Linked DNA regions of Diceros bicornis minor. The protein of the gene in region 1 interacts with the protein of each later gene in a pairwise test. Links are inferred from orthologs where the notes say so. Each region holds a gene or a part of one and is shown on either strand. Other genes may lie near its edges.

What was found.
Region 2: the proteins of GCC1 (region 1) and CEP57 interact in binary tests that used the Homo sapiens proteins (3 or more experiments, as listed by UniProt). The two-hybrid records come from large-scale screens. The link is inferred for Diceros bicornis minor from reciprocal best matches to the Homo sapiens genes GCC1 and CEP57.

The regions. Positions count from the first base shown.
Region 1 is NC_080742.1:76,638,278-76,646,021, reverse strand, and holds the start of GCC1 (GRIP and coiled-coil domain-containing protein 1), read left to right. Parts: upstream 1-4,733; 5' UTR 4,734-5,145; coding exon 5,146-6,177; intron 6,178-7,072; coding exon 7,073-7,744. Other genes in the region: ARF5 (ADP-ribosylation factor 5), read right to left, coding at 102-173, 662-771, 1,107-1,187, 1,713-1,779. UniProt on the Homo sapiens protein: Probably involved in maintaining Golgi structure.
Region 2 is NC_080746.1:38,220,044-38,227,430, reverse strand, and holds the start of CEP57 (centrosomal protein of 57 kDa), read left to right. Parts: upstream 1-4,365; 5' UTR 4,366-4,495; coding exon 4,496-4,540; intron 4,541-7,387. Other genes in the region: protein FAM76B, read right to left, coding at 170-325, 1,103-1,157, 2,296-2,360, 3,186-3,272. UniProt on the Homo sapiens protein: Centrosomal protein which may be required for microtubule attachment to centrosomes. May act by forming ring-like structures around microtubules. Mediates nuclear translocation and mitogenic activity of the internalized growth factor FGF2, but that of FGF1.

The sequences.
Region 1 (7,744 bases):
CACATTCAAGGCCTGGGAGGCATTTCCTGACTTTCACACCAGCACAGAGATCTCTCTGTCTCCAAACCGAGGGCTCAGTCCCCAGGGCCCTGGGTGCTCACCATCTTCTGGAGTTCATCAGCAGATTCCTGGACCCGCTCTCGGTCATTACTGTCCACCACGAAGATGAGGCCCTAGGTGCGAAGGAAGAAAGGAAAGAAGAGCAATCACTCCCCCTGGGACATAGCCTAGTCTGGCCCTTTCTCCTTCCCATCTTTGATTGTGTCTAAATCTTTCTCATCTAGTAAACTTCCACTAGGGCTCTGCAGGCATCCTGGCACAAACTGGAGACACCCTGCAAAGGATACAGCCTCTGCCCTCAGGCAAGCAGTCTAGCTCAAAGCTGTGCAAGGGAACGGGGAAAGGATGTGATGAGAGCTAAATCAGGCAGCGTGGATCCTGAACCCTGCTTCTCAGGAGAAGCCTAAGGTGGCTAAGTCTCAGAAGACTAAGGCCAGTTCTGAAGGATGAGTAGAGGCTAGCCTGCAAAAGGAGGGTAGGAGGGCTAGAGGATTTTTTCCTGGCCTGGGGGCCCAGCCTAGACCAACATCTCAGTCTTCCTAACCCTAACTCTTCTTCCCCTGGGGTTGGGGAGTGCCCCCTCCTTCCCCCACTCCCCGACCTGAGTGTTCTGGAAGTAGTGCCGCCACAGAGGCCGAATCTTGTCTTGGCCTCCCACGTCCCAGACTGTGAAACAGATGTTCTTGTATTCCACTGTTTCCACATTGAAGCCTGCAGATAATTGGAAAAAATATGAGGAAAAAGTCCTGAAAGGAAGGAACTCACTAAAACTACGTGGATTCAGCAGAGACACAAAACCAGAAGGCAATGATCAAGGCCCAAGGGAACAGAACCCCCAGAGGCCTGGCAGTCCACAGACGGGGCGGGGCTTGGTCACATCCATCCCGCTCTCGTAAAGATACCCTGAGCCGCTTCTCAGGTAGCCGTATCTGGTGTCAGGGTCAGCTCCCTGCACAGAGATAACGGCCTGGGGCAGAATGGGGAGCAGACTCTGAGAAGGCCCGCCGCCGCGCTCCCACTCCTCCTGGCCTCGCCTCCGGACTCACCTATGGTGGGGATGGTGGTGACGATCTCCCCCAACTTGAGTTTGTACAGGATCGTGGTCTTGCCAGCTGCATCCAAGCCAACTGCAACGGAGAGGGGCACAGGGATGGAGACGGGAGCGAGGGAGCCCCCTAGAGACCACGGAAGGGGAGAGACCAAGCCAGCTGATGGTGACGGGGGCGGAGAGCCCGAGCGCCGGCAGGTGCGCGCTGTGCTCTACCTTCCGGGCCTTGAGGGCAGCCTGGGTGGTGAATGCCAACTCCTGCCCCCAAGGCGGGCGAGGGGCGAGAGAGGACTGGGGAGTAAGGGGCGCAGGAGGAGGGCCGCACTCCTTTTAAAAGTCGTCTGCAAGGGCGGAATCCTCCCTTATAACCAGCCAGGCTGGGGCGGAGGGAGATTCACCCCACCCAGGCCCGCAGCTCCCGGTCTCAGGCCCCGGGGCTTGGAGCTGCAGACCGCGACCCGCCCGAGAGCAGTGGCCCCGAGAGGTTAGGAGGTGGGTGACTCGGGGTCAGAGACACAGGTGAGCTGGTAGAAGGGACGCGGGGGCGGGAAGGCTGCGTGGGGGCCGGCGCTCCGGTCCGCGCCGCGCGCTTGATCTGCCTCACCCATGAGGATCCGCATCTGCTTCTTCCCGAAGATCCGCGAAAAGAGCGCGGACACGGTGAGGCCCATCGCGGGGCCCAGGGGAGGGGCCGCGGGGACGGACGCGGGGTGCGGGCTGGAACCGGCCGGCCGCGGGGGGGATGGGGCGCAGCAGCAGGAGAAGGAGGCTCCGCCGCCGCCTCCGCGCGTCCCGGCCCGCCCTACGTCACTGCGGGCCCGCCTCCGTCCGGGGCCCGCCTCCAACCCCGCCCCCGCCCCGCCCCCAGGCTCTGGCTCCGAGGAAAACTGAAGCTGAGCTAGTGTCCACAGCCAGCCTAGGTCCCGCGCCGGCTTTAAAGAGGGAAGGGGCCTGGGTCTCCCCTTGTTTCTAGCGCGCCTGTCAGGTCTGTGGCTGCTGAACCCGCAGCCCGAGCGGGGCAGAGGAAAGCCTATAACGCTCCACAGCGGCCCCCCGGTCTCATCTTCAGTGGCTGGCCGCTGGGCTTTGATTTGTTGCGTCCCGGTTTAGCCCTGGGTAACTTGCAGCATCGACTGTGTGCACTACCCTCCTAGGAGACCGGAAGTTCTGTGCAAGCGTCTTAGTCCTCCTTTTTGCCCCCTCAGCTCCCAGCGAGGGGCTTTGAGCGTAGTGGGTGGTTCAGTGACCGTAGAATCTCAAGAGGAGGGCGCCAGAGGTGGGGGAAGAAGATGCCCGAGTGCTAGCTGGCCTGTAAGGTTCCTTAAAACACCTGCTTCATGATCTCCCCAACCAGCAGAACCAGTGGAAGATTCCCAGCTCTGGGCAGGCGGTTGTAAACCCTACTCCTGCATACTGGAGAACTCCGCTTTCGCCCTGATGGCCCTGGAAACAGTGCTTTTCAGTTGACCCAGGCAGCCGTTCTGCAGCTCCTTCCTCACTTTGCCACAGATCTGGGAACCTGGATTTTTAGTGCACACCTATCCAGGATTTTGTGAGGCTCTTGTGGCCCTAGACTCAAAGAGCTTCACAAGTAATTTCCCCACTCATCTTAGCATCTGAGAGGAAATAGCAAGATAGGAATTAATTTAAATTTCTTCTGTGGCGGAGACCCAGTCAATGCCAGGCACCTAATATATGCTTAACAAATGCTTGCTTGGTTGAATGAAGTAATAGGTTGCTCAGTGGAGCAAGGGCAGGCATTTTGCCTATTCTGGATTCCCAGTGAGTTTCTAGGATCAACTGCATATGGACTGGACATGGAGAAGTGAGCTGGGAATCAGAGAACCTTCATTTGTCCATTCACTCATTCAACAAATGTTTATTGAACGCCTGCTATGTGCCATTGTTCCAGGCCTCAGCTCAAATCTCAGTTCTGCCTTTTTTTTTTTTTTTTTTTGAGGGCTTAGGCTTCAACAATCCTCACAACCTGTCATTTTCTCATCTATAAAAGGAGACTAATATCTGCCCTAACTATCTCATGAGGTTATGGTGAAGATTAAAATGATGAGATAATGTATCTGTTTTGTATAACGCAACTGCATGTTATCTGGGCCACTAAGAAACTGGGTCTGAACAGAACTCCAGCCCCATCCTGACCTTTAAAGTCTGTAAAAAGAACAGACTTTGGGCACTAGGTATGAGTGAGTGTATGACTTTACTCTTCAGTCACAGACTTGCATTCCTAAGAAGGCTTTTACAAGATTGAAGAGTATATTTAAACGAGTCCCAATATAATAACACAACTAGTGGTCACCAAGTCAGGTCAGTTTTACATGTTTAGCCTTTTTAATTAGCTTCTTTCTTTCCATCCCTGTTGTCACTGTCCTATTTCACTGCCATCTCTTCCCCATGACTGAAATAGCCTCCTCACAAGTCTCCTGCTCCTTGGTGTCTCCACCCTGTCATACAAGTCTTGATGATGACACTCTCGAGATTAAAATGCTTTAGTGTATTCTTATCACCGCAGATAAAATGTAAATGCTTTAATTTGGGTCCCCCAACTATTGTGTCAGCCCCATCTCTTGCCACCTCCTTCACATATCCTAAGCAACTGCCTTGAGATGATTCTCAATGTTTCCCCGGGTGAGCCGGGCTCTCTGATGCCCCAGGAGTCTTTGAAATCTTTTCTCTCTGCCTGGAATGCTTGTTTCCCTCATCTCTAGTTAGATGGGCAATCACTACTCATCCTTCAAATCTCAAAGTATTTTCCCTGAGAGCCTTCTCTGCCTCCCCTAGGCAGGCCTCCCTCCTCTTAACTTCCATACCACTTTGAATATACTCATACATACTGGTATGATTGCAGGACTTGTGTTTGCACGTCTGGTTCCTCATTACATGTGAGCTCCTTGAGGGCAGGACCCTGTCTCTTCATGGTGATCACCTGGAACAGCACTTGGTATGTGAGAGCCGCACTGGTCTGGATAGGATTCCTAAACTTACTAGCTAAGGGACCTTGGGCATGTTACTTAACCTCTTTGTGCTTTATGTTTCCATATCTGTAAAACAGTGCTAATAATACCTACTGAGCAGAATTATTGTAAAGACTAAATAGCAAAACTCTTATGAAGCTCCTGGAACATAGTTGGCACTTAGGATGGACGTCACGGCTATTGGATGCCCTCTACATATATTTGTTGAATCAACTCAGCAGAACTCAGGAAGGGTGCTAATAATTATTATACTACACGCCTACTAGGTGCCAAACACTGTTCTAGAAAGTGGTCTAAATGGGAGCCTTAATTGTTGCTCTTTAGGGACAAAAGTACTGAGCCCCCAAGTAGTGGGGATGCGTGCCTCACCTAGGTGTCTGGTACTCACTACGACGTTGCCCCCTGTCGCTCGCTGATCGTAACCCGAGGGCAAGCTCAGTAGCCCCCACCAAACCAACATCGCCCCCGTGTCCTCGAGTTTGCCTGCTCCACTCTTTCAAAAATCTGTCAGCTCTCAGCCTAGCCGAGTTCTCAACAGGCCGCCTCCCACCCACCGGCTGAAGTAGCCCCGCCCACCTCGCGCCCATTGGGGGCGGAGCCTATGGCGTCATGCTGTCGTCACTTCCAGCGGACCGGGAAGCGGCCTTGAGGGGCCGCTGTAGTTAGGCAATCATTGCGGGGCTGCGCTCAGCTTAAAGCCTTGGCCGACCGTGGGCCGAGGGTCGGCTGGGGCTGCTGTGGCCCGGGCGAGCAGGGAGCGCGGAGCGGCTTCTGGGGCAGTGCGGGCGAGCCCTGGCAGTGTGCTTGTCTGGTGCTGACGTCGCCCCGCCTCTAGGATAGGACCCGCCCCCGCCCTCCGGGCTTGGGACTTGGCGGGTACTTCTGCTGGGCTGCCCCGCCGCCCAGCATCCGGTCGGACAGCTGGGTGGAGAGAGTGAGCGGCCGCGGGCACAACTCTCCCCGTCGTTTGCAGCCTCCGCCAGCGTCTTCGCCACCCTCTTCCGGGCTGTCCCAACGCTGACGTGGAGCAACCTGTTCTGAACCCTCATGGAGAAGTTTGGGATGAATTTCGGCGGCGGCCCGAGCAAGAAGGACCTCCTGGAGACCATTGAGACGCAGAAGAAGCAACTCCTCCAGTACCAGGCACGTCTCAAGGATGTGGTCCGTGCCTATAAAAGCCTAATGAAAGAGAAAGAGGCGCTAGAGGCCAGCATTAAGGTGCTGTCGGTGTCTCATGAGGCGGATGTGGGCCTTGCAGGCGTCCAGCCTCCAGGCCTCACCTTTCCTGACTCTGTGGATGACCGATGCTCCACTCACAGCGAGGATAGCACTGGGACCGCCACCAGCTTGGACACTGCGGCCAGTCTCACCAGCACCAAGGGTGAGTTTGGGGTAGAAGATGACAGACAGGCCCGTGGACCACCACCTCCAAAGTCCGAAGAGGCCAGCGGGTCGGAGAGTGGCGTCAGCAGTAGCAGTGGGGATGGACCATCCGGGAGTGGGGAGGTGGACAAACGACTGCACCAGCTGAAGACTCAGTTGGCTACTCTGACCAGCTCATTGGCTACAGTCACCCAGGAGAAGTCCCGCATGGAAGCTTCTTACCTGGCTGACAAGAAGAAGATGAAACAGGACTTAGAGGATGCCAGTAAGAAGGCAGAGGAGGAGAGGGGCCGTCTGGAGGGAGAAGTGAAGGGGCTGCAGGAGCAGATAGCAGAAACCAAAGCACGACTTATCACGCAACAGCATGACCGGGCCCAAGAGCAGAGTAACCATGCCTTGATGCTGCGTGAGCTCCAGAAACTGCTGCAGGAGGAGAGGACCCAGCGCCAGGACTTGGAGCTTCGGTTGGAAGAGACTCGAGAAGCCCTGGCTGGGCGGGCATATGCAGCTGGTCAGATGGAAGGGTTTGAGCTGCAGACCAAGCAGCTGACCCATGAAGTGGAGGAGCTGAAAGGTGAGCTGCAGGCTCTTCGAGATGAGAAGAATCGGCCAGACCCCCGGCTGCAGGAACTTCAGGAAGAGGCTGCCTGCCTTAAGAGTCATTTCCAGGCCCAGTTGCAGCAGGAAATGAGGAAGGTAATTATCTTCGTCTTCTGCAAACATTAATCATTTAGCTGAAGTGGGAAATATTAGGGTTTTTTCTTCTCTGGTAGTTAGAACTAAGTGGCTGCACTGTCATTTTTGATGCTGTTCACAAAATTCCACTTGTGAGTCTTGGGAAATCCTATTCTGTGCAGTATCCACAGAGTGTGCTTCCAACAGGATGTGGAGTTTCTGAGTGTAGGCTGGGTCAGAGCCAGGCAGCTTTGAGCTTCTGGGCATTGGCATCTTACCAGCTGCGCTCTGTGAGGCAGTATAGTGGCAGCTGTGCAGGGAAAGGTAGTGTACGTGCCTATAGGTATATACCTATATAGGTAGACATATATGCCTATGGGGGGGTGGCTGAAGGGGGTGGGGTGCCTGCAGGGCGTAAAGGGAATTTTCTCAAGAAATAATCTCTTGTAATTGCTTTCAGTCAAGATTTGCCTGTTCTGGAAAGGTATGCTATTTTACAGTGCCTCCTTTCAGTGTGAGAGAGATCCAACTCAATTTTGAACTTTCAGGAATATTGGAAGAGGGCAAGAATGTCATATGATTGCTTAATAGGATTTAGGGAAGCACATGATAAAGATAACACACTTTATGTGTGAGCTCTGTATGTGGTAGGAGAGAGTGGAAGCCCTAAAGCAGAACAACAGCAGATATACAAAGGTTCTTAGTATCGTTTGGTATAAGGTGTGTTTGGGAGCAGAACCCAAGCAGGTTACAGGAATTTTGTTAGCTCCCAAATCATCAGAAAAGCCCAGTTCCCGTTCTGGCCAGACCATCCCAATCCTGTGACCATTTTGCTCCCCTTTCTTGCTTTCTCAAAGTTTGCCTGGGGCTTTGTGGCTTTTCTGCATGCATTTCCATCTGTCCCCTTGTTTTACAGACAGCCCTTGCAGAGGATCTACTCCGCCAGCAATCTCAGGTGGAAGAGCAGAGGGTGGCAGCCCTGGAGAATCAAATATCCGAGGTGTCGGAACTGCTGGGCACCTATGAGAAAGCCAAGCAGAAGGACCAGCTGGCCATCCAGAAGCTGAAGGAGCGCATTCTGCAGCTGGACCTGGAGAACAAGACGCTGGCTCTAGCAGCCTCCAGCCGGTCCCCTTTGGACAGCCATGGAGAGGAGTCCAGTCTAGATGTCAATGTCCTAAAAGACAAGATGGAGAAGCTGAAGAGGCTGCTGCAGGTTGCTGCCAGGAAGAGCCAGGTGACCTTGGATGTGGAGAAGCTCTGTGACCTGGAGATAATGCCCAGCTCAGAGGCTGCCGATGGGGAGAAGGCCACTGCGCTCTACTACCAACAGGAGCTGAAACAGCTGAAGGAAGAGTTTGAGAGGTACAAGGTGAGGGCCCAGGTCGTCCTCAAGAGCAAGAACACCAAAGATGGTAACCTGGCCAAGGAGCTGGAGGAATCCCAGGAACAGCTCGCAGAGCTGAAGGAGAAGTATATCTCCCTGCGGCTGTCCTGTGAGGAGCTCGAGCGCCAGCATCAGCAGGAGGCCGAGGACTGGAAGCAGGAGCTGGCCCGGCTGCAGCATCTCCACCGTCAGGAGCTGGAG
Region 2 (7,387 bases), on another chromosome or scaffold:
ATTGATCAACATGAATCTACATATGACACTATTCCTGCACTTTTATCTAACTACCTGCTTTCAGGGACCCAAAGAATACATCAAGTCTCAAGAGTGTATTAATTATAATAACTTCCAACTTGGTTGGTGTTTTATTTAATTTCCAGATGTCATAACCTAAGTAATATACCTTTCTTCTTCCTTCCTCCTTCCGATCAAAAGCACATTGTTGTTTGCACTGCTCACACGTCTGAGGTGGTCCATATTTTTTTTCTGAATTTGTGCAACGCTGACACTTTGTACCAATAAATGCTGCAATTATGTTACAGTATTGACAAGGCTTAGGCTGAAAAACAGATAAACATTTCCTTTAATTGAGACATTTAAAAAAATTAAACATTTGCTGCATAAAATATACCCAGTGTACAAATATATTTCTGGATTAAGGAAACAGGCAAAAAATTTTTCTGTCAAGTATGTTGCCTTGTCGCATTCAATGACATTTATCATATTTCTATTCATTTACTAACATTTATTTCTAGAGCTATGAAACTTTTTGTTATTCTATTGAATAGTTTAATGATCATGAGAAACATTATTTACGATTTGCATATCATGTTATATAATACAAAAGCTACACGTGAAAAGGGTCTCAAAGAATGAAAATAAATGTATGCGTTTATAGAAAAGTTTGATGTATCCAGTATATGGAGGAATAAAGTTTTACTAATTTAATATTCTGGTTAGCTTAATTACTATATCATTTATTCAAAAAACATTTAGCAACTTATCATATACAGGTACAGATGATTCAAGAAATACATACTATAGGTGAGTTTTCAACTTAAAAATATTGGCACAAGCACACTCAACATAAACTATAACAAACATACCTTAATTTTCTTTGATGTTCAAATGACAATTCAGGATTTTATAGAGCCTTAAGGCCAGCACTTTGACTAATCATGACTATAATATACCAATAATTTCTTCCCTGAAATATTCTGGTATGTTGAAATATTTCAGAACATAGCAATACATATTTTTTAAAAGGTCCATCATTGTGAAAAAGATTAATTGACCGGTAACAATAAAATGAAATGAAAATGTAAGACATACTTACCGTGCCAAATTGCTTCACATTTTGAGCGCACTTCTTACAAATTGTATTAGTTTTGCTAAAAAGGAAATTGTATATAGATGATCAAATTTATGTAGCTTTCTGAGTAACTAGCACAATGTTGAACTAAAGCAAACAGTGAAAGAGAACAATTTGCTTTAGCAGTACTTAAAACTTACTCTAATATAGACCAAGGATTTTTTAGAAAATACAAACATAAGTATCTTTTAGGGTTGTATATTATCCAAATTTACTTTTCTTCCAATAGCTTAAGATAAATGTTTTTACATATTTTTATTTTTTACTTTTTGTTAAACAAAAACTCCTAATGTTTCCTATCTAGTTTCAAAATCTTCACACTTGCCACTATTTAGGTATAGCATTACATACCAGTGCCTACCTTACCTTCCACTGGGCCTTCTCCACTATATGATGTCCACACCTACTCATGAAGAAATCATTTGTTCTTGTCTTAGGCTACTCTCTTGTATGTGCTGTGATTCTCTAAGAATCACCCTGTTAAAACGTATTTGCTGGGGCCGGCCTGGTGGCGCAAGCGGTTAAGTGCGCGCGCTCTGCTGTGGCGGCCCGGGGTTCGCCGGTTCGGATCCCGGTCGCGCACCGACGCACTGCTTGTCAAGCCATGCTGTGGCGGCGTCCCATATAAAGTAGAGGAAGATGGGCATGGATGTTAGCCCAGGGCCAGTCTTCCTCAGGAAAAAGAGGAGAATTGGCAGATGTTAGCTCAGGGCCGATCATCCTCACAAAAAAAAAAAAAAAGTATGTGCTGTTCTTCCACTGGTAACAAGTTACTAGATTTCACCCGGGGAAGGTAGTTGGTAACACTCAAGACCTCTTTTCATGTCCAAGCCAGCACTAATGTTTTGCCATTTTTTTATAGCTTAATAGTAACTATCTATATTTGCATTTTTTTGTTAGCAAGGCTGTACATTTCTCAGGCGACAATTTATTCTTTATTTCCTCATGTGTAAACTGAAGTCTAGCTGTAAAATAACCATTAAATTTTTGTCAACATTCTCTCTCTCATCATGCATAAAAAGTTTACAACTTAAAATCTAAAAAACTAAACCATTTTTTTAAAAAAACTTGAATACAAACATGGGATTACAACCCCCAAGTATTCCTTACAGACAATACTTTGTCCTTAACAATCAAAAACTGTTCAGTATACAAACCTCTCTTGTTGAAATTCTGATCTGCAGTAAGTACATTTTACAATAGGATGTGCAATCCGACATTCCTGTAATAAAACAATATATTAGTCAGTATCTATCTCAAAGTCCTAAATTTCACTTTTCTAGTAGAAAATTATTACCCAACCTAGTCAAATGTCTAAAACAGCTATAAAATCTGTCCCCCGATGTAGACAATTGAGTGACTTATGTAAGTGGCCAATTACAGCACAATTCCTTGGGGAAGGCATAGGTGTCTTTGTCTTTATTAGATGTGGGGGGTATGCTGCAGATAAATTAAGCAAGCTGTCAGGGCCGATTTCAAGAACTGGTTAAATGTGAAACTACTTATTATTTTGCACCGTTGCTCACAGACAGCATCCCGGCTTTAATGGGATGGGAGGAGCTCCAAATCATAGAGCATTCTGTTCCCAAGCCAGTCGCTTCGCTTTCCTGGACAGGGAAGAAGGATGCCATCAGCTTTGCGGCTTCAGGTTCCTAGCAAGAAAGTGCAAAAACCGTCCCCCGCCTCCCGATGGAAGGAGAGGACAGACCAGGCAGAAAAACGAGATGAAAACATCTCCACCCCAGGGTCTCTGCAGCATAGACAGGTGGCTGCTTCACTCAGCCCCACCCCGGAGACCCCTGAACGTTATTGGGGCCCGGGCCCCTCCTGGGCCGCCTGGAAGACAGCAGTATTCTGTCTTCCTCCCAGGGGCCTTTCGCAGCTGATGCCCAGGTCCTCGGAAAAAGGGGTCCCCGGGTGAGAAGGCGAAGGCTCCAAATCCCTAAGGCGCCGGCGAAGGGCTCAGCGCTGCAGTGCAGCGGGCACCCAGCACCTTCGGGCTACGGCCGAGGAAACCCCGCCCGCCCGCCGCCCAGCGCCCACGGACCTTGCAGAGCTGCTGGCCCTGGGAGAGCTCCTCGAAGGGATAGCGCTGGGTACACTTGGTGCAAGCGTACAGGGCCGAGGCCGCCATCCTGCTCAGTCTCCTCCTCCACCGCCGCCCGCTCCGAGGCGGGGCCCTACGGAGAACTCGGGCGCCGCAGCCGCCACCGCCGCCCGGGCCGCGGGCTCCTCCTCCTCCCCCCCCCCCCCGCCTCGCGCCCACCAGGGCCTTGCTGCGAGATCCCAGGGCCCTGCGGCCGACGCCGTCTCCCTCCGCCTCCACTTCCGCCCCAGCCCACCAAGTGACGCCGACCCAGCCGCTCCTGCTTAGGCCCCGATAGCGGCGGAGGGAGACGAAGCGGATAGTTCTTTGCGGTTTAGCTGCGCGGCAGCGGATCCGCTTCCTTCTCGGCCCCCTTCCCCATTCCTGATTGGCTGGGGAGAGTACTGCGTCTCTCGGTCGCTCCTCCCAATGCCTAACCCCGGCTACGCAGGGAGCTCCCACAAAGGGAGGAAGTCGCTGGCCAATAACAGCCCGACGCTCTCAGCGCGCGAAAGCCGCTTTAAACTCGCCCCGCCCAAAGGTCCCGGTCGCGGCCATTTCTAACAGCTAGTGACAGGTTTGGGTGAGAGCGCCCCAACCCAATTGGGCAAATGTTCACGAAGGTTTACTCTCTGACTCTACTCTTTTTCCCCTGACTTTTATTGGACCAAATCATTAAGCCCCTCCTAATTCTATTAGTTATTGGTCAAAAGGTAAGTACTTCACCTGGAGAGGCGTCCCCGAGTCAAGCTCACGCTCTCTCCGGCGTTAGTCCGAGAGAACCGATGGAGTGTTTGAAATTCGCATTCGCTTTTATCCTCTGTCAGTCATTCGATCCAATTGCCACCGGAGACAACTCAACCCCTCACCCATGTTTCCTCCTCGAGAAGGCCCGCCCCTTTGTAGAGTCCCCTCTGAGCCATCTAGTATTCTGCAGCGTTACCCGCGCCGCAGTCTCAGCTACGCGCTACCTTGTGACGTCACCGAGGGAAGAGGCGGGTTCTCTCCTACTCCCGGAAGACGTCCGTTTTTTTGATTGGCTGTTCAAGACGTCCTTTAGGGCGTGTCGCCCTTTCTGTGTCCGCTCTGAGCGTGGGCGTCCCTGTGGGGGTGTGTGGCTGGGGCTTCTGGACCTGGCACCAGCCACCTAGCCCCTTCCATCAGGGGTTCGGCTTAGGGTCGCCCCTGGCGGGCGGCTCTCGAATTTTGAAGAAAAGCACGAGAACTCGGACCGCTGCGGGGCTGCGGAGGTCCGCTGGGCAGGCAGGAAGATGGCGGCAGCGTCGGTCTCTGCGACTTCTGGTTCTCAGTTCTCGGTAAGAAGCGGTTGACGTTCGAATAAGCCCCAGGTCGGCCCTAGCGCCTCTTTGCTTTTCCTCCCGCTTTAGAGAGCTCTTGGGCCAGCGTCTCACCCCATCCTGGGGAACGGCAGGCGACGCTGAGGTCGCCCCGTTCTACCCTGACGTCCAGTGCTTCTCTGTCGAGGCTCCTGTCTTCCATTGAAACAGGCCTGGCCCGGCTCTGTCCCCCATGCCCCCTTCACCTTTCGGCTTGGCAGCCCAGGTTGCCAAACATTGCCAGGGCTCTCTGGGATGGCTGTACCCACACGCTGGCCTGTGAAAACCTTTCTCCTTTGGTCACGTGGGTGTAACGGCCGGTCTTGGAAACGCGCCGCGAACAGGTAGGCGCGCTAGTCGGCTTGCTTGGCAGCTGTGGCCGAGTCCGCAGCCTCTAGTGCATCCTCGTCGTTGCTTATGCTGATTCCTTTGCCTGCAGCTCCTCCCCCTCCCATCCTCCCAGTAACTTTGTTCTGTGCTTATCCTACCCAGAGCGCGCGCTTCCCACCTCCCACCTTGTTACTATGACTGCAGTGTGTAAATGCCGTTTTTGAGAGGCCACAGGGGGAAATGATCTTAAATACTGGTTTCCCCTCCACAAGGGTCATCAGCCAGTTCACTCACTAATAATTGGCGAATTGGAGTACCGAACGCTTAGCATTTTGGGAACCGCGGCGTTAGGAACAGATAGACAATAAATGTGAGGAGGCTGAAGTGAGAGCCATTATTTCTGTATTTAGCAGATGCTGAGTGCCTGGCACACTTGTAGACTCTAAGATTACGGAGTTGAATAGGATAGAATCCCTGCTCTGAAAGAGCAAAACACTGAAGAGAAACTACACGTAATTAGATTATTACACAGTACAGTTTTTAATACTACCATACTAGAATAACCTGGGCGACAGTGATTAGCAGTGCTTGGGTAGGCTAGAGACAGTTTCCTAGAAGGGAAGATGGAGCTACCTGGATGATGAAGGAATCGTAAATGCTTGTGGCAAGAACAGAAAAAGGAAGGAGACAAAAGCATCACAGGCATTTTGGGGCATGTGACAAGACAATAGGTGCTCTTAGGAAACTTGAAATAATTTGGAATGAGTAGAGGTAGTGTGGAAGTAGAGTTGGGCTAGATGAATTGTAAACGTAGGTAAAAACATGAAAAAAGGATAGTGAGGGAAGAAGACAGGAGAATATCAGGGTAAAGTTATGTCATAGAAGCTAACGGGGGAAAAAAGTTTAGGGCAAGCAGAGTCACCTAGGGGAAGACACACTTCTCCTCAGTTTCAGCTTTTGATGACTGTTGTCAGGATTTGTGATAATGAGGCCAGAAGTAACCTTCAGGGTTTCAGCAGAATGAGGGTAATAAGTTTGCAGAGAGTTTTGGGAAGAATAAGGACGAAGAATGAATGAAGCAATTGGAGTTGATTCAGGAATTAGGTCAGTAAAAGGGAAGATAAGAGAGACACTGTTAGACTGTTAGGAAGAAGTGTCACTAAGTAGGTGGGTGAGATTATCTGCGTAGGAGTTGTGATTAAACTTAATTGGGAGAAGAGGGCTTTTCACTGCTCTGAAAATGTAGCACTGGGAGACTGCTCAAGGAATACTCTTATGAGTGTTGAATTCAGCTGCACTCTACCAGTGACTATCTAATGGTCAACCCTTAGTCTTTGAGGTAGCCTGGACAGAGATCCCGTGGAGTGTTTAATAAGAAAGCATATATATTTTTATATGGTAAACTCAGCTTGAAAAGGATTCTAAATATCAAGGGTACACTAAGAATATCTAGGGCCCTTTACAAGTCAAAGTATAACAGCCTTCTTAATTAACTTGACCTGCTACATCAAAGTGTCTAATTTGGAAGTCACTATGTCTCAAAGTAAAAACGACTAAATTTTGTTTATCGGTGTATAAGATATGAGCCCGCTTAGATGCTTTAACTGTCCTGTGAGAAATAAGGCTGGCATTTCCAGCAGAATTAAAAAAGCACTTTAGCTTAACAAACAGCTGATTGTAAAATAAGACAACACAAAAAGAAGACAAGACAAAAAGACCTTTTAAAACTACAACATGAACTCAGAAGGCTATTCATATTCAGACTTCAGGGTTGTGAACTTTATCAATTAATATGTATTCAGCATGGAGCTAGCTGTAGTAAATAAAGGTGCTTTTACCAGGCAAGGATTTTTAACGGGTAGATTCACAAATAACATAGTTGTTAGGAAAGAGCTACCATGTAAATCTCAAATGTGGACAACATGGGAGTAGGTGATACATTCGAATGGCTTTTTTCAGTATTTCGCTGCAACAGCAGCAAGAAGAGTAACAACAGTGGGTAACATTTATTGTGCTATTGCTATGTATCAACTTCACTAGTGGAGAGCAGCAGGGAAACAACTATGATTGGGCATAATGATATTAAATAGAAGTACAGGCAGCACAGTGTTGAAAGAGAAGAATGTCTTTTCTGTCATTCCTTTTTTATTTTCCCAGTAACCATGGTCAACACCCTTCTGTCACTTTGGACTTAATGAGCTAATCTCATAAGTGGTCTCCCTGGCTTTTTAGCCAGACCCTTTAACCGACCTGCTCCATATATCTCTTAAAAATATTTTATGAATATATCATAGATTTTATAACATTAAATATATAAAAAATTTATTTTTGAGAATAATAAAAATGAATAACTTCATGCCCCTTTTTGCATCGTCCTACTTCTCTGTCTTGCTCTCTCACACACCACCATACATTTTGAGATTGTAATAGTATATGACACTCATATAGTACTGTCTGGCAGTCATTGTTTTAAATACTTTTCATATATTAACTCAT